3 linked regions of the Nothobranchius furzeri genome follow. The protein of the gene in region 3 purifies or fractionates together with the protein of the main gene of each other region. This does not show direct contact. Links are inferred from orthologs where the notes say so. Each region holds a gene or a part of one and is shown on either strand. Other genes may lie near its edges.

Region 1 (4,220 bases), on a different chromosome or scaffold from region 3:
CACCAGAAAGTCTGTTCTACCAAGTAGTAGAGGACGAAGACGGCATTTGGAACAGAACCATACTCTGTTGTGTCCTGGCAACAAGCGCTGCTTCTTGCTACAGTTAAAGAGAAAGTCACTCCAAATCACCATTTTTATTGCTGATAATAAATGAGTGTCCAATTGTGCTGTAGACAAATGTAGTCCATAATTTGGCACTTTAGTGCATCTTAGATAAAATTTAAATATTTTGCCTAAAACTGTCAGCGATGCACTGTCGTCAGGCAAAAACTCAGCACTGCATTTGAATTTAAATCTGCCATCACTATTGGCTAAAAGGTAATCTATGATGTTAGATGGTACATTATGATGTCACAATGTCGTGAGTGTGTGTATTTGTTAGAGGCTCCGCCCTCTCGGTCTGCTAGGCAACAGCATTTGTTGCATTTTTCAAACAGGAAGTGGGAGTTACGTAAGAATCTGGCAGGGGTTGACTTGCTCTTTAAAAAAAAGAACATAAAAAAATAAAAATAAAAGTCTAGTTTGTTCCTTAAATAACAACAAAACATATTACTTGTATTAAATTTATTATTTGTATGATATTTGACCCACTTTGATCAAAACTGATAAAATTTTAGCATTTTCCGCAGTCTAATGAATAAATAGTTTATTTTTCATCAGAACTGAGCTAAGCTGCTTTTATTTTGATAGTGGGTTTGCTAATTAGCATTTTCAGGGCTCTTGAAGAGTAAAACTCAAACACACATAGCAAAATGTACAGGTTACACACATTCATTTACAATAACACACAACTTTATATTGTTTTATTTGTAACTGTAATATAAAACATTGGTCGTTAGCTTTTTCTCTGACGTTCAGAGTTTAACAGTTTGTGACGCAATGCATTATGGGAAACTTTGCTATCCCAAGTCCGCAGAAGGATGCATTGATGCATCCTCGATCCAATGGGCGGAACAAGAACACATTGGGGAACTTTGAGCAAACTCACCTTTATGCATACTCAGGATTGGAACAGTCCTTGGGACTTCGCTGATGACATTTCACAAAGAACATGAGTACATGAGTTCGGACAAGTATGCATATACACACCCTGTGTGCATTTGGTAGCAACTCCGTCCTCTCAGTCTGCCAGGAGTGGGAGTGGAGTAAGACTCTGGTAGGAGGTGACTTGCTCTTTAACCATTTTAAGCATATACTGAAAAATATCCTACTATGGTCAAATACCAGTCTGAAAAAGAAAGCCTGAACCACTAAACGATTGCAAAAGTTCTTGCTCTTAGTGGTTAAATAACGGGTTGTTTTGAAAATGTAGTTGCTGTAAATATATATATTTTACTACAGTAAATGTGTACGCGTGGGTGTATGGAAGATGGACATTCTGAGGTAGGAACCAATGTTGGCATGGCACGATGGTGAGTCGGAACCCGCAAGGCGCGGACTAAACGGAAGTTTAGACGGTTGCTGTGGGTGAATGGTGAGCGTCTCCTTAAACCTAAAGTGAACTCCCTCCTCAGTGTTACCCCGTTTTCCTTTTCCCTCACCCATGGCGTCGAATTCTGACATCGACATTGAGGGAGCGACCCAGCATCTTCGCGACATCCTGAAGCTCGACCGTCCCGGGAGCAGCGCCGGTAAGTGGGACTGCTGCGCTCCAGCAGGCCGCGGAAGCTAACTTAGAGCTAACATGTTACATCCACAGGCGAAGCTCCGGAATGTGAACTTTTCCGGAGCAGAATCGCCCTCTTGTACATTTCACGAAGTGCCGACCGTAGACAACACCCACCTAAACGTATTTAGGTCTTAAACGTTTTCGCAGAGGCATCTGCGAAGCCGCTAATTGTTTTTTTTTCTGTTCGCCGACTACGTATGGGTGTTAGCCTCTGTCAGTATTTTCTGGTGGGGACAAATTGCTAGCCAATGAAAAAGTGGGTCAGTTTTTAGTTCGCTGTCTAGACTCTGAGGCAAACGTTTTGTATTATGTTTACTCTATGCAATTTTTAATGAACTGGTAATACGCTTATTTCTTGAAACTGCGTAGGTCACTGCTTTCGATTTCTCTCAGCTACTGTTGTGTTTGCTCATGGCGCCACTGACTTTGCTATATAAACCTCGATGTTTTATACAGTGCAAACGTTAAAACAAGTACTTTAATCTGTTTAAAAAGGTTTTAAAAATGCGTATCAATTAACATTAAAGCATTATATGTATGTGTAAATGTATATAGCCAGCAACACTGAGTTGTTTTGTTGTTTTCCTGCTCCATAAAGCCAGATTCAATGGTTGAATCAGCAGCCTATCAAGCTCTGCAGAAGCTTCACATGCTGATTAAAATCAGGTGTGTTGAAGCAGAGAAACAAAACATGCTCAATAGTGCCTCCTGGACCTGCATAACCCATTCTTTCCGTTGATTGTGAAAACGGCTGCAAAACGTATTACATGGCAATTAGCCACAGTTATAGTGGACAGGTTCCTTTTCAAATTCAGCCAAGTGTGACATTGTGGACACGTCCCAGAAGTAAAGGGACGCTATCATTCTGTTTCAAGGCTATGGCCCAATCCAAATACTCCCACTTGCGCCCCTTAATTACGCATTCCAGTCCAGGGGTGCGAGTGTGTAGGGCAGCTATATAATTCCAGGCCTTGAGGGCTGGTATCCAGCACGTTTTAGTGTTTTCTCTAGTCCAACACACTTATTCAGTGGTTGAGTAGAATTGACTTGACTTTATTGATCTCAAGGTGGGGAAATTAACTTGTTACAGCAGCACCCACACTTCAGAGGATAATTAAAATAAAAACAAAGGTACATGTATATATACACATAGGATGTAATCTAGTACTGCAATCACATATGCAGCAGCAGGCTCAGCAGAAGCTTGTTAATCACCTGCTGATGGAAATCAGGTGTGTTGAAGTAGGGTTAAAACCAAAACGTGCTGGATACCGGCCCTTGAGGCCCGAAATTGAATAGCAGTGGTGTGGGATATCCCGATCCTCAATTGTGGAAATTGACCGTGACTCTTTTGTCCCTTGTATCCTTGCCCAAGTTTGCACTGATGCAAATTCAGCGAGGGGTGTTACCCGTATCCATTACTGCGTGGGAATTTTGAGAAGGCAAAACAGTGGTTCAAGTGGCTTTTCTGAAAATATGTATTTTTATGGAGCTAGGATTGGGACAATATTCAGCGTAACTTGTACCAAGTTTTGTAACTTCAAACATGTTTCATCACATGTAACTTTGGATTCGTAACTTGTAACTTTAGTTTTCTAACTTGTAATTCTCAATTCGTACTTGTATTTCTTGTTTTGTAACAGGAACGTTGTATTTTGTACATGTATTTTTTTTATTTGGTAAGATCAAACTTTTATTTTGTACATTTACTACTCATTTTGTAACATCAAACATTCATTCAGAAACATGAAACTTTCGTTTTGTAACTAGCAGACTTCCAAATGGAAAAAATCAAGGTACAAGTTTGAAATCAAAACTCTCAAAACACACATTTCATTCTACAGGTACAAACTTCAAATCTACAGTTACGGATCTTTTTGTCTCGATTCTAGCGTCAGTGTTTGATGTTACAAAATGAGTAGTAAATGTACAAAGTAAAAGTTTGTTTTTACAAAATAAAAAATACATGTACAAAATACAACGTTCCTGTTACAAAACAAGAAATACAAGTACGAATTGAGAATTGCAAGTTAGAAAACTAAAGTTACAAGTTACAAATCCAAAGTTACATGTGATGAAACATGTTCGAAGTTACAAAACTTGGTACAAGTTACGCTGAATATTGTCCCAATCCTAGCTCCATATATTTTCAAATAAAATAATTTGATTTTAAGACAATTAATGATGATATGTGTTTATTCTCTGCATGGTTTAGAATAAGATTTAATGTGAACAGCAGTGAATGTATATTTTGTCAAGAAATTGTTTGAAAGTTGTTAATAAAGATCTTTTTAAAAAGTAGCACAGACACACTTGTGTACTACACACTCGAAGCCTTACTGTGCACTTCGCTGAAGACCGTAGGGCGCAGTGCGAGTATTGGGAATGGGGCTATTTTTTTATAAGCTACGCTTCAGAAACACGTCAAGCTCTTCAGTTCAGAATGAGCCAGACAGGAAGTCAAATGCAAAAGCAGTGTTAGTGTAAAATATCTGGAAAATAATTTGCGTGTTTGTCATTTCTTGTGAAACCCCCGTAAGCCGATTTTACC
Region 2 (3,993 bases), on a different chromosome or scaffold from region 3:
GGGATAACGAGGACAGCAATCTGTGGGGGTTTTCACTAATCTGCTACACTCTGGCCTCAATAATTGGCTCTGAAATACGACTGAGGGCTTATCTGTCATTTCAGAACGTGCAAGACTAGGAGCACAACAGAAACGGAGAGGAAGCTGACTGAATCCATCACAAGAGAGAAGAATATTATGATCATGCAAACGGACTAAAATGTTGCTTGTGAAGTGATTGTGTTACTATCAGATCAGACTAAAAACCGAGCCACATTCCTGAGGGGCAGTCTGAACATTTATCAAGAGTTCAAGACCACAAACAGCTGCAATGTGGCACAAAACAAATTCTAACAGCTGGGATTTTGTCATTAAAGGCGTGATGTAAAAAGTAAAATGTGCAACAGTGTCAGCACATTCACGAGTGGAGGCTGAAAATCACTTATGACATACAAAAAAAACAATTCTTGTGTTTAACACCAGCAGACATACTACCTAGAGAATGTTTCCAGTCTTGGATAACTGCTCCACCTTGTTGTTTGTTTCATGTCTAAGATATTTTATAACATTGAGGTGGGAGAAAAAAAAAACAACATTACACCTTTACAGAAGAAGATTGAACCTTCAATTATTCCATGGAAGATCTGAAAAAGGAAAAGACAGCAACCCATGGGGAAATAGAGGAAGTCCAGTTCAGAAAGCTTTCCTCTCCAGCTGGTCCAGAATGGTCTGGATTCTCTGAACAGCCTCTTTCCGGGCTTGACGAACACTCTCCTGTCCCTGAGTCTCCACAGAGTCTAGCTCCAGCAGCTCTTTGGTCAACAGTTCCTCTAGACACCGGTAGCTCTTGTCAGTTTTTTTGCCGACAAACTCATCAACATCTTCCTGAAGCAGCTGGACTCTGACCAGAACCTGCTGGACTTTAGCAAGCCCAGGATTGTCGCTCAGGGGCTGAGGTCCGGCAGGACCAGGAGCTGGTGGAGTCTCAGATTGTAAGGGGTTGGGATCGCTTCTCCCATTCTTGTTGTAAATCTGGGGAGGCGAACTTATTTCAGCAGGCTTTCCATTGGTTGAATTTGGAGACAGTGCTGGTCGGGGTTTCGGTCCCACATGAGGGGCGCGCTGGTCCTAGAAGAGAAAGTGGAATTTACCTGATTAAATTCCCGGCTCTTAAGTCATTTTTGTTTGATTAAAAAAGAAAAAGCAAAATGCACAAACTACAGAGAAAAAGCAGCGGACTCTTACTTTAGGCTGATAGGGTGGTGGAGCACCAGTTCCAGTACCAGGCCACGCTGGGGGATGTGGCGGTCGGACAGGGTTACCATAGGGACTTTGTGAAGGCTGCTGTCCATGCTGCCACTGTTGTGGTGATGGAGCATACTGACCTGAGTGACCCCAAGCTTCAGCCTGAGAGGTGGGATGGGGAGGCTGCCCAGTGGGATATGGTGGATTTGGAGGAACTGCATGTCCACCTTCACTGTAGTGTGAATAATGCCCTTGAGGATATCCAGGACCCTGAGGGCAAAAGAAACAAACCACTTGTTTTCCAAACAATACTCTAGTCATATTTCTACCAGTACTGGCTACATTTAGGGTTGATCTCCCACCTGGCATCTACTAGCTATGTGAAAACTTGCAAAAACCCACTCACGCCTTGACAGTGTGGGCCAGGATAGTGATGGTGTTGGTGCTGAGGGTATGGTGGCCCAGAAGCCCCACTACCCTGCTCTGTAGCACAGCCTTGGTTGGGATAAGAATTTCTTGGATGGTCAGCACAGTAGAAGGGGTTTGATGCGTGGAAACTGCTTGTTGAATACTGACTTTGTGCAGGGCTGTAAACTCCGTGGCCATTTGGATATCCTCCAGGCATCAGCTACACGAACAACAAAATAAGAGACGCAATGAGTAAAAAAAAATGTACTTAACATAAAGATAAACATATTAGGTAAGACCAAGGATTCTATTGACCTATCATCCTATTAGCTGTGGCTTAGAGAGGATAGGTTGTATTGCACAAGGAGCTGTACCTGTGGGTTGTACTGCTGCTGAACATCTGATCCAGAGGGATAGGTGTTTGCATAGTGCCCAGTGGAATGAGACTGTGGATACCAGTAATGTGACGCATATCCTGGATACTGAGGAGAATCCTGTTAACACAAGAGATATTTTTTATAACTAATAAAAGAAAACACCCCAAACATTATCTTTAAGTCCAACAATTAACTTTAGAGTCAACATTCTTCTTTCAACGTGGCTGTGTATCCTTGAAGGGACGATAAATAAATACAAAAAGTATAAATTAAACATCACTGCCGCTGAAATTTTGGTGTCTCAAAAGATTTATTATCAAGCTGAAAATATAAAAACAGTTAGCTTAACTAGCTCGTGCTATTACATAACGCCAACTAGCCAAGTTAGCCACTCCGCTAACACGAGCAACGCTAGCTAACTCGCTTCCGGTATGACTTATATACTAATTGAAGTCGGTTTTAGTCGATAATAAACTCATGAACTTTTTATTGTAGCCGTTGAACTTATCTGTGTCGTTTTCGTCTACTCACCATGTTGTTACTCCAGGTTCCGTGCTGATTTTCCGAGTTACAAGTAGAGGGCCAGTCTGGTTTAAGATTTGAATGCATTTGGTGCATCAGCTACGCGCATTCCCCATCCGCAGTCCCCTTGAGCAGCATTTTCCATAAATAAACCTTTAATAAGATAAGAGTTACTGGTCTAAAACACCAGCAAGTCCAAGGTGTTTCTACTCAGAAGTACAAATCGTCTGATTGAAATCAGGAAATGAGTCAATGACGCGAGGCTAGGGGAAACCCAAGCCTGTCTCTTTAAAACAGAGATTCGTCAAATATTGAGATGCTTCACGCCGATGCCAATTTCTGATAGTGTTAACGTTACTGCGGGGTCAGCATTGCCACGATCAAATAAACATTTCTTAAAACTAAAATTATCACAACTATGACATCAAAGGAGTGGTTACGATGCAAGTGGATTGGAAATATAATCTCATTCATAAATTTTAAGACTAAAACTAATTTTTCCCACGATATACGATCTTTGTCTAAATGAAAAACCCAACCACTAATGAAAACAAATATAATTTTTTTGTGAAATTAAATGCGACACTAAAGTGTTTTTAAAATATTAACTTGTTAAAAATCATAATATTGTCTTCAGGATATTAATATAAAGGATGAAGAGTAGAAATAATTATATTTATAAAATAACAATAGTTACTTAGAAATATTTCTGTAAATTCGCATTTTGGGGTCAGCAACCACAGACATATAGACCGTGTCACTCACTCTAACAGTCTTTTCGATCATTATTTAGCTAGAATTAAAGGTAAAACTGTACTTAGAATGGTGTGGAGTCCAAGGGCTAAGTTAGCTGGTTAGCTACAGCGCTACAAACTTTTACACTGAACGAGGAGGGTTTTTGGCGCCGTCCAGTGGCATCAAGCTAGAACTACACTTATTCCATTTTTAGTTCTTTTTTATAACACAGAAAATGTTTTTTATTTTATTTTTTTTTTTTACCTTGCTGACAGTTTCGTTTGCCGACTGTAAAACATTAGCAGTCGGCAAACAAAACTGTCAGCAAGGTTATAAAAAAACAACTAAAAATGGAATTAGAAACTAGACACAGCAAGTCTTTTGAAAGAGATTGGGAGATGGGGAGCGAGCGCCCTCCAGTGGCAAGAAGATTGAACTACACGTTAGTTCAGTTAAACCCGAAAAACGACGTAATCTTTGTTTTTGTCTTCTTGGGAAAATGAACATGAAGGATGAACGGTAGAAATACAAAAATGAACTATATTCATACAGTTACAATAGTTACTCAGTACAAATAACTTTAAATTGTTTAAAAAATACAATGGGATGTTGTTAGCAATAGGGGAGCTACTCTAAAAGTCTTTTTTCTCCCATTATTTAGCTAAAAACATTTAAAACTGTATTTATGTATAGATGGTTGTCTGGAGTCAAAGGGCTAGACCCAGCA
Region 3 (4,289 bases):
GGCTACGGAAATGCAATATTCATATCACAGAAAGTTATGTTCTTCTTGTGTCTGTTACTGTTCCATCCTTGAATATTATTTTCAGGAAAGACGTGTCACCTTCCTGAAATCTAAAATCTTCAATTCAGACTATTTCTAATGTTGTTTCCCAGCAAAAGTCATCTTAACACTAGAACTACTTTGGTCATTTTGCAATTTGCATAAAAAATTACTTTAGAAACAATTTTATTTGTTTTATAAACTGCCCAGTGTTCCCAATCCAGATGTTGGGTTGACTGCCAGTGATTTTGTTTGGTTTCCCTGGGCAAGATGAAAATAGAACACCAAGATTGGGACATTTTACAATCAAAGAGCATCTCCAGCATTTGATCAGTCTTTCTCTTCCTCATAATTGTGTTATTTTTTTTTATCTTTTATAACTGTCTGTTTGTCTATTAATAAAATACGTATAAAGGAAAAGAAATATAATGTTTTTATTACACGTATTTTATTAATAGACAAATTAATATTTTATTAATAGACAAACAAATTGTGCAGAAATAAGACCATAGAAATGGCATTAGAGAGACTGATCATATGGAGTTGGAGTGTAGGGAATACAGTCGGTAAAGACTCAGGACCAGGTCTTGAGTTAAAATCTGAATAATTGTTAATGTGAGAGTTTGGAGCTGTACATTTGAAGAAATAATAATATAATAAAAAATAATAATACTGGAATAATTTCTATGGTTATTTAGTAGAGAGCTGGAGTTGGTTAAAGTCATCTAAGAGAATGAGTTTTGCAGTCAGGGTCCAACAAGGCACTGAAAGCTGTTAAAAAGTATAATGCGTCTGAAATAAACTTCAGTAGTTGTTTCAAAAAAAGTGAGTATCCAATGAAATGAAGTTTAGCTTGTTTAGACTGTTGTTTACTGTTCTGGGCCTTATCAAAAGTGGTATTGAGGCTTCACACACACCCAGAAGCTCAAACATTAAAATTTTGAAGCGTTTTAGAAATCCCTTTGGTGCCCTCCAGTGGTATCATTAGGAATTATAACAGTGGATTGGGCATTATTAAGGCCTCTTTGGTGTGTTCTTACTGTGTGTTTCTAATTCCATTTTTGGTTCTTTTTAAAACGCAGGAAAGGTTTCTCTTTACCTTGCTAACGTTTCATTTGCCGACTGCAAAACATCCTCAGTCAGTCGGCCTGCCATTCTTTCAGTCAGGAGGGAATAAACAAAGGTGCATTCATTACCTGCTTGATTCTACTGGGAGTAATAAACAGATATACCATTATAACTCACTTAAAGAGCAAGTCACCCCCAAATCAACTTTTTTTGCTGATAAACTAAATAAAGAAGTGTCTAATCGTGCTGCAGACACGTGTAGTCAATTATTTGGCACTTCGGTGCATCTTAGTTAAAAGTGAAATATTCTGCCTAAAACTGTCAGTGCTGCGCCGTTGTCAGGTAAAAACTCTGCACTGTATTTGAATTTAAATCTGCCACAGCTATTGGCTAAGAGGTATGCTATGATATAAACTGGTACATTATGATGTCACAATGCTGTTGTGAGCCTGTGTGTGTGTATTTGTTAGCGGCTCCGCTCTCTTGGTCTGCCAGGTAACAGCATTTGTTGCATTTTTCAAACATGAAGTGGGAGTGGAGTTAGACTCTGGTAGGGGGTGACTTGCTCTTTAAAGTGCTAGTAAAATGGTCAGATCGCTTTATTGGCTGGAGAAACAAATGTATTGCAAAAGAGCAGTGTTTACTGCCTGACGCATGGCCACATGGAAGAGTGTTCTTCTAAACATGGGATGGGCGCTTAAATTATTCATGTTGGTTTTTGGTGTTAATATTATTTATGAATTAAATTAACGAGTATCCGTTAATTTATATGGAGCCATAAGTTTACAAATGATAGGCAAAAAATAAAAGATAATCGTTGGAAAAAATATTGTATATAAAAACATGCAGGGATCATTAAGAGCCTGACTATGGGGTCGCTTTGAGGACGATTTCAGTTGCATCCCGCGCGGTTCTTTGACGCGGTATCTCTATTGATTTCTCGGAGTCGATTATTCAGCCTTGAAGTTTTTCCGCGCAACTACTCACGCCTAAGTTGTTTACAAGTGTTTTGGCTAAACATGGCAGTTTAGAGTCCGTGATAGCTAAAGCTCAAAGGCTGTAAAAACAATTTTAACGAGTTATTTAAATTTTTTTACATCTATCGATGACCTTGATTTTTATCTCGTCGTTGGTTCAGTTTTAATTTGCTTTTAACTCGATTGACGCTAAAGCTAGTTAGCTGGCTAACGTCTTCATAGGAAACAATGACGACTCCTGCAGCTAGTATTAGCTGCCTTACTGCAAAAGGACTGGATATAAGTTTGGCTGCCCTGCAGCGACAAGATCCTTACATTAATAACATTGTTGACGTGGCCAGCCAAGTTGCTCTGTATACTTATAACAACAGGACAAATGAGTGGGTAAGTCAGAAAATATTTTCTTCTACTAGTAAAAGATGCCATATGCTAGCTTAGCTTTGCTTCAACTGGCAGGCGCGTTTTGTCATTACACACTAACAACAGGGAGTAAGTTCATGTTAAAAAACTGTTTGCGAATGCTAAACTAAATAAAAACGCTGACGTGTGTTATAAGTGATCTACAATAGTGCATTGTATTTTATACACGGAAAAGGTTATGGTCTTAGTCGTGGAAAATAATCTGACTCATACTTTTGAGTTTTGTTTGTTCTCCAGACTGCGATGATGGAACATTTAAACTTATACCACTTTAGAGAAATATTACCGCTCTTGTAGTAAATGTATTATTTATAAACGGATGGTAAATGTGGAAAAATGGAAGAGAGAACCCAACACGTTCCTTGTTTTTCTTTAGGAGAAGACAGAAGTGGAAGGCACCCTTTTTATCTACACAAGGTAACGTTTTTACGTTTAAAACTACGTGATTTTTACAGTAATAAGTAAACTAATGATTCTACCACCATACTTACTGCTGGGATTAGGATTTATTTGTTGTAATCCTATTCTGCCATTTATTCTCTTTTCCCTTTGGTAAGATTTGTGTTTACTTGGTCGATAGAGTACCTTTAAGAAATGTAAGTTTTGTAACACTTAGTGGTGCAGTGTAAAGACATAATATCAGAGATATGGGTATATATACATATGGTTTGCCATGATAATCCTATGTTTGTTCATTATATCTGATGGTACTGGGTTTTTTTCTGCTGCATCCTCCTCGCCTTACAGACTTGCATCTCCCAGGCATGGATTCACCATCATGAATCGACTCAGCATGGAGAATCTAACAGAGCCCATCACAAAAGATTTAGACTTCCAGCTCCAGGACCCTTTTCTGCTTTACCGCAATGCACGCTGTAAGGCCTAATGCACACAAATACATGTTTACATAGTTTTGATGCACCTTACTAACACATACCTTAGAGTATTTCCAAGTTGTGTGTATTTCTTAATTATTTTAGACCTTGTGAATGCACATACATGTTTATTATAGCCTTTCATTCCTCTAAATGAGCAGAATTTCTACTATATGTGTGTTTCTTTCTATTTTCATTTTCTATACATGTATTTATTCATGCTTACTGTATTCCAAAAATGGTTTTAATTCAGTATTATCATACGAGCTAGAAGAAGGCCTATTTCTAATTCAAATAAAATTTTAATTGGAAAACAATTAATCACAGAAAGAAATTAAATTTGAATTAGATATAGTTTTAGTAAGCTCACCAGATTTAAATTTTAAAGGATGAACTGAAATGAAGATACTTTTGTTTTGTTTTAAAAGCTAACAGAATTTCACCTCAACTACTCATAAAGGTTCGATCATCATTTTCTTTGTTTTGAAGGATTTTTATAAAACAATTTCACAGACAAAAAAACACCACTTGTAATTTCTGTCATATTATGGATGTGGTTGACAGGTGGATCAGTGGTATAATTGCCTTTTTTTTTTAAATGCTTCTTGCTTTTTAAATTGCTTTCAAACTACTGCTCAGATTGCTGGTGTAAGTTGTCAGAAGTGAGAGCATTTCCACGTCACAATGACATTTCTTTTCTACTGTAAGAAAGTCTTATGAAACTTTCAGAAAGGGTAGTTAGTCAGATCATCTGAGTGGGAGCTCCATGTAAGGAGCTAAGCCGGGACATTTTAGTAAATTTTATCAGCCTGACTTTCCTTGAGACCCACATTAGGCGCCCTCTCACACAATCACATTTCCAAGTGTGCCTGTGGGAAAAGAGTCTGACAGCACTACAAAAGCAGCCAGC

The links. Proteins that work in one complex are often made in the same cells at the same time.
Region 1: the proteins of dcp1b (region 3) and edc4 purify together in Homo sapiens (affinity purification with mass spectrometry; 3 studies listed by BioGRID and IntAct, with this or other methods). This does not show direct contact. The link is inferred for Nothobranchius furzeri from reciprocal best matches to the Homo sapiens genes DCP1B and EDC4.
Region 2: the proteins of dcp1b (region 3) and bag4 purify together in Homo sapiens (affinity purification with mass spectrometry; 3 studies listed by BioGRID and IntAct, counting the BioPlex papers as one, with this or other methods). This does not show direct contact. The link is inferred for Nothobranchius furzeri from reciprocal best matches to the Homo sapiens genes DCP1B and BAG4.

The regions. Positions count from the first base shown.
Region 1 is NC_091744.1:83,067,506-83,071,725, forward strand, and holds the start of edc4 (enhancer of mRNA-decapping protein 4), read left to right. Parts: upstream 1-1,420; 5' UTR 1,421-1,543; coding exon 1,544-1,631; intron 1,632-4,220. UniProt on the Homo sapiens protein: In the process of mRNA degradation, seems to play a role in mRNA decapping. Component of a complex containing DCP2 and DCP1A which functions in decapping of ARE-containing mRNAs. Promotes complex formation between DCP1A and DCP2.
Region 2 is NC_091757.1:36,774,003-36,777,995, reverse strand, and holds the start of bag4 (BAG family molecular chaperone regulator 4), read right to left. Parts: upstream 2,801-3,993; 5' UTR 2,628-2,800; coding exon 2,541-2,627; intron 2,127-2,540; coding exon 2,007-2,126; intron 1,853-2,006; coding exon 1,631-1,852; intron 1,495-1,630; coding exon 1,225-1,494; intron 1,108-1,224; coding exon 673-1,107; 3' UTR 1-672. UniProt on the Homo sapiens protein: Inhibits the chaperone activity of HSP70/HSC70 by promoting substrate release. Prevents constitutive TNFRSF1A signaling. Negative regulator of PRKN translocation to damaged mitochondria.
Region 3 is NC_091741.1:47,712,272-47,716,560, forward strand, and holds the start of dcp1b (mRNA-decapping enzyme 1B), read left to right. Parts: upstream 1-1,489; 5' UTR 1,490-2,312; coding exon 2,313-2,468; intron 2,469-2,880; coding exon 2,881-2,921; intron 2,922-3,251; coding exon 3,252-3,379; intron 3,380-4,289. UniProt on the Homo sapiens protein: May play a role in the degradation of mRNAs, both in normal mRNA turnover and in nonsense-mediated mRNA decay. May remove the 7-methyl guanine cap structure from mRNA molecules, yielding a 5'-phosphorylated mRNA fragment and 7m-GDP.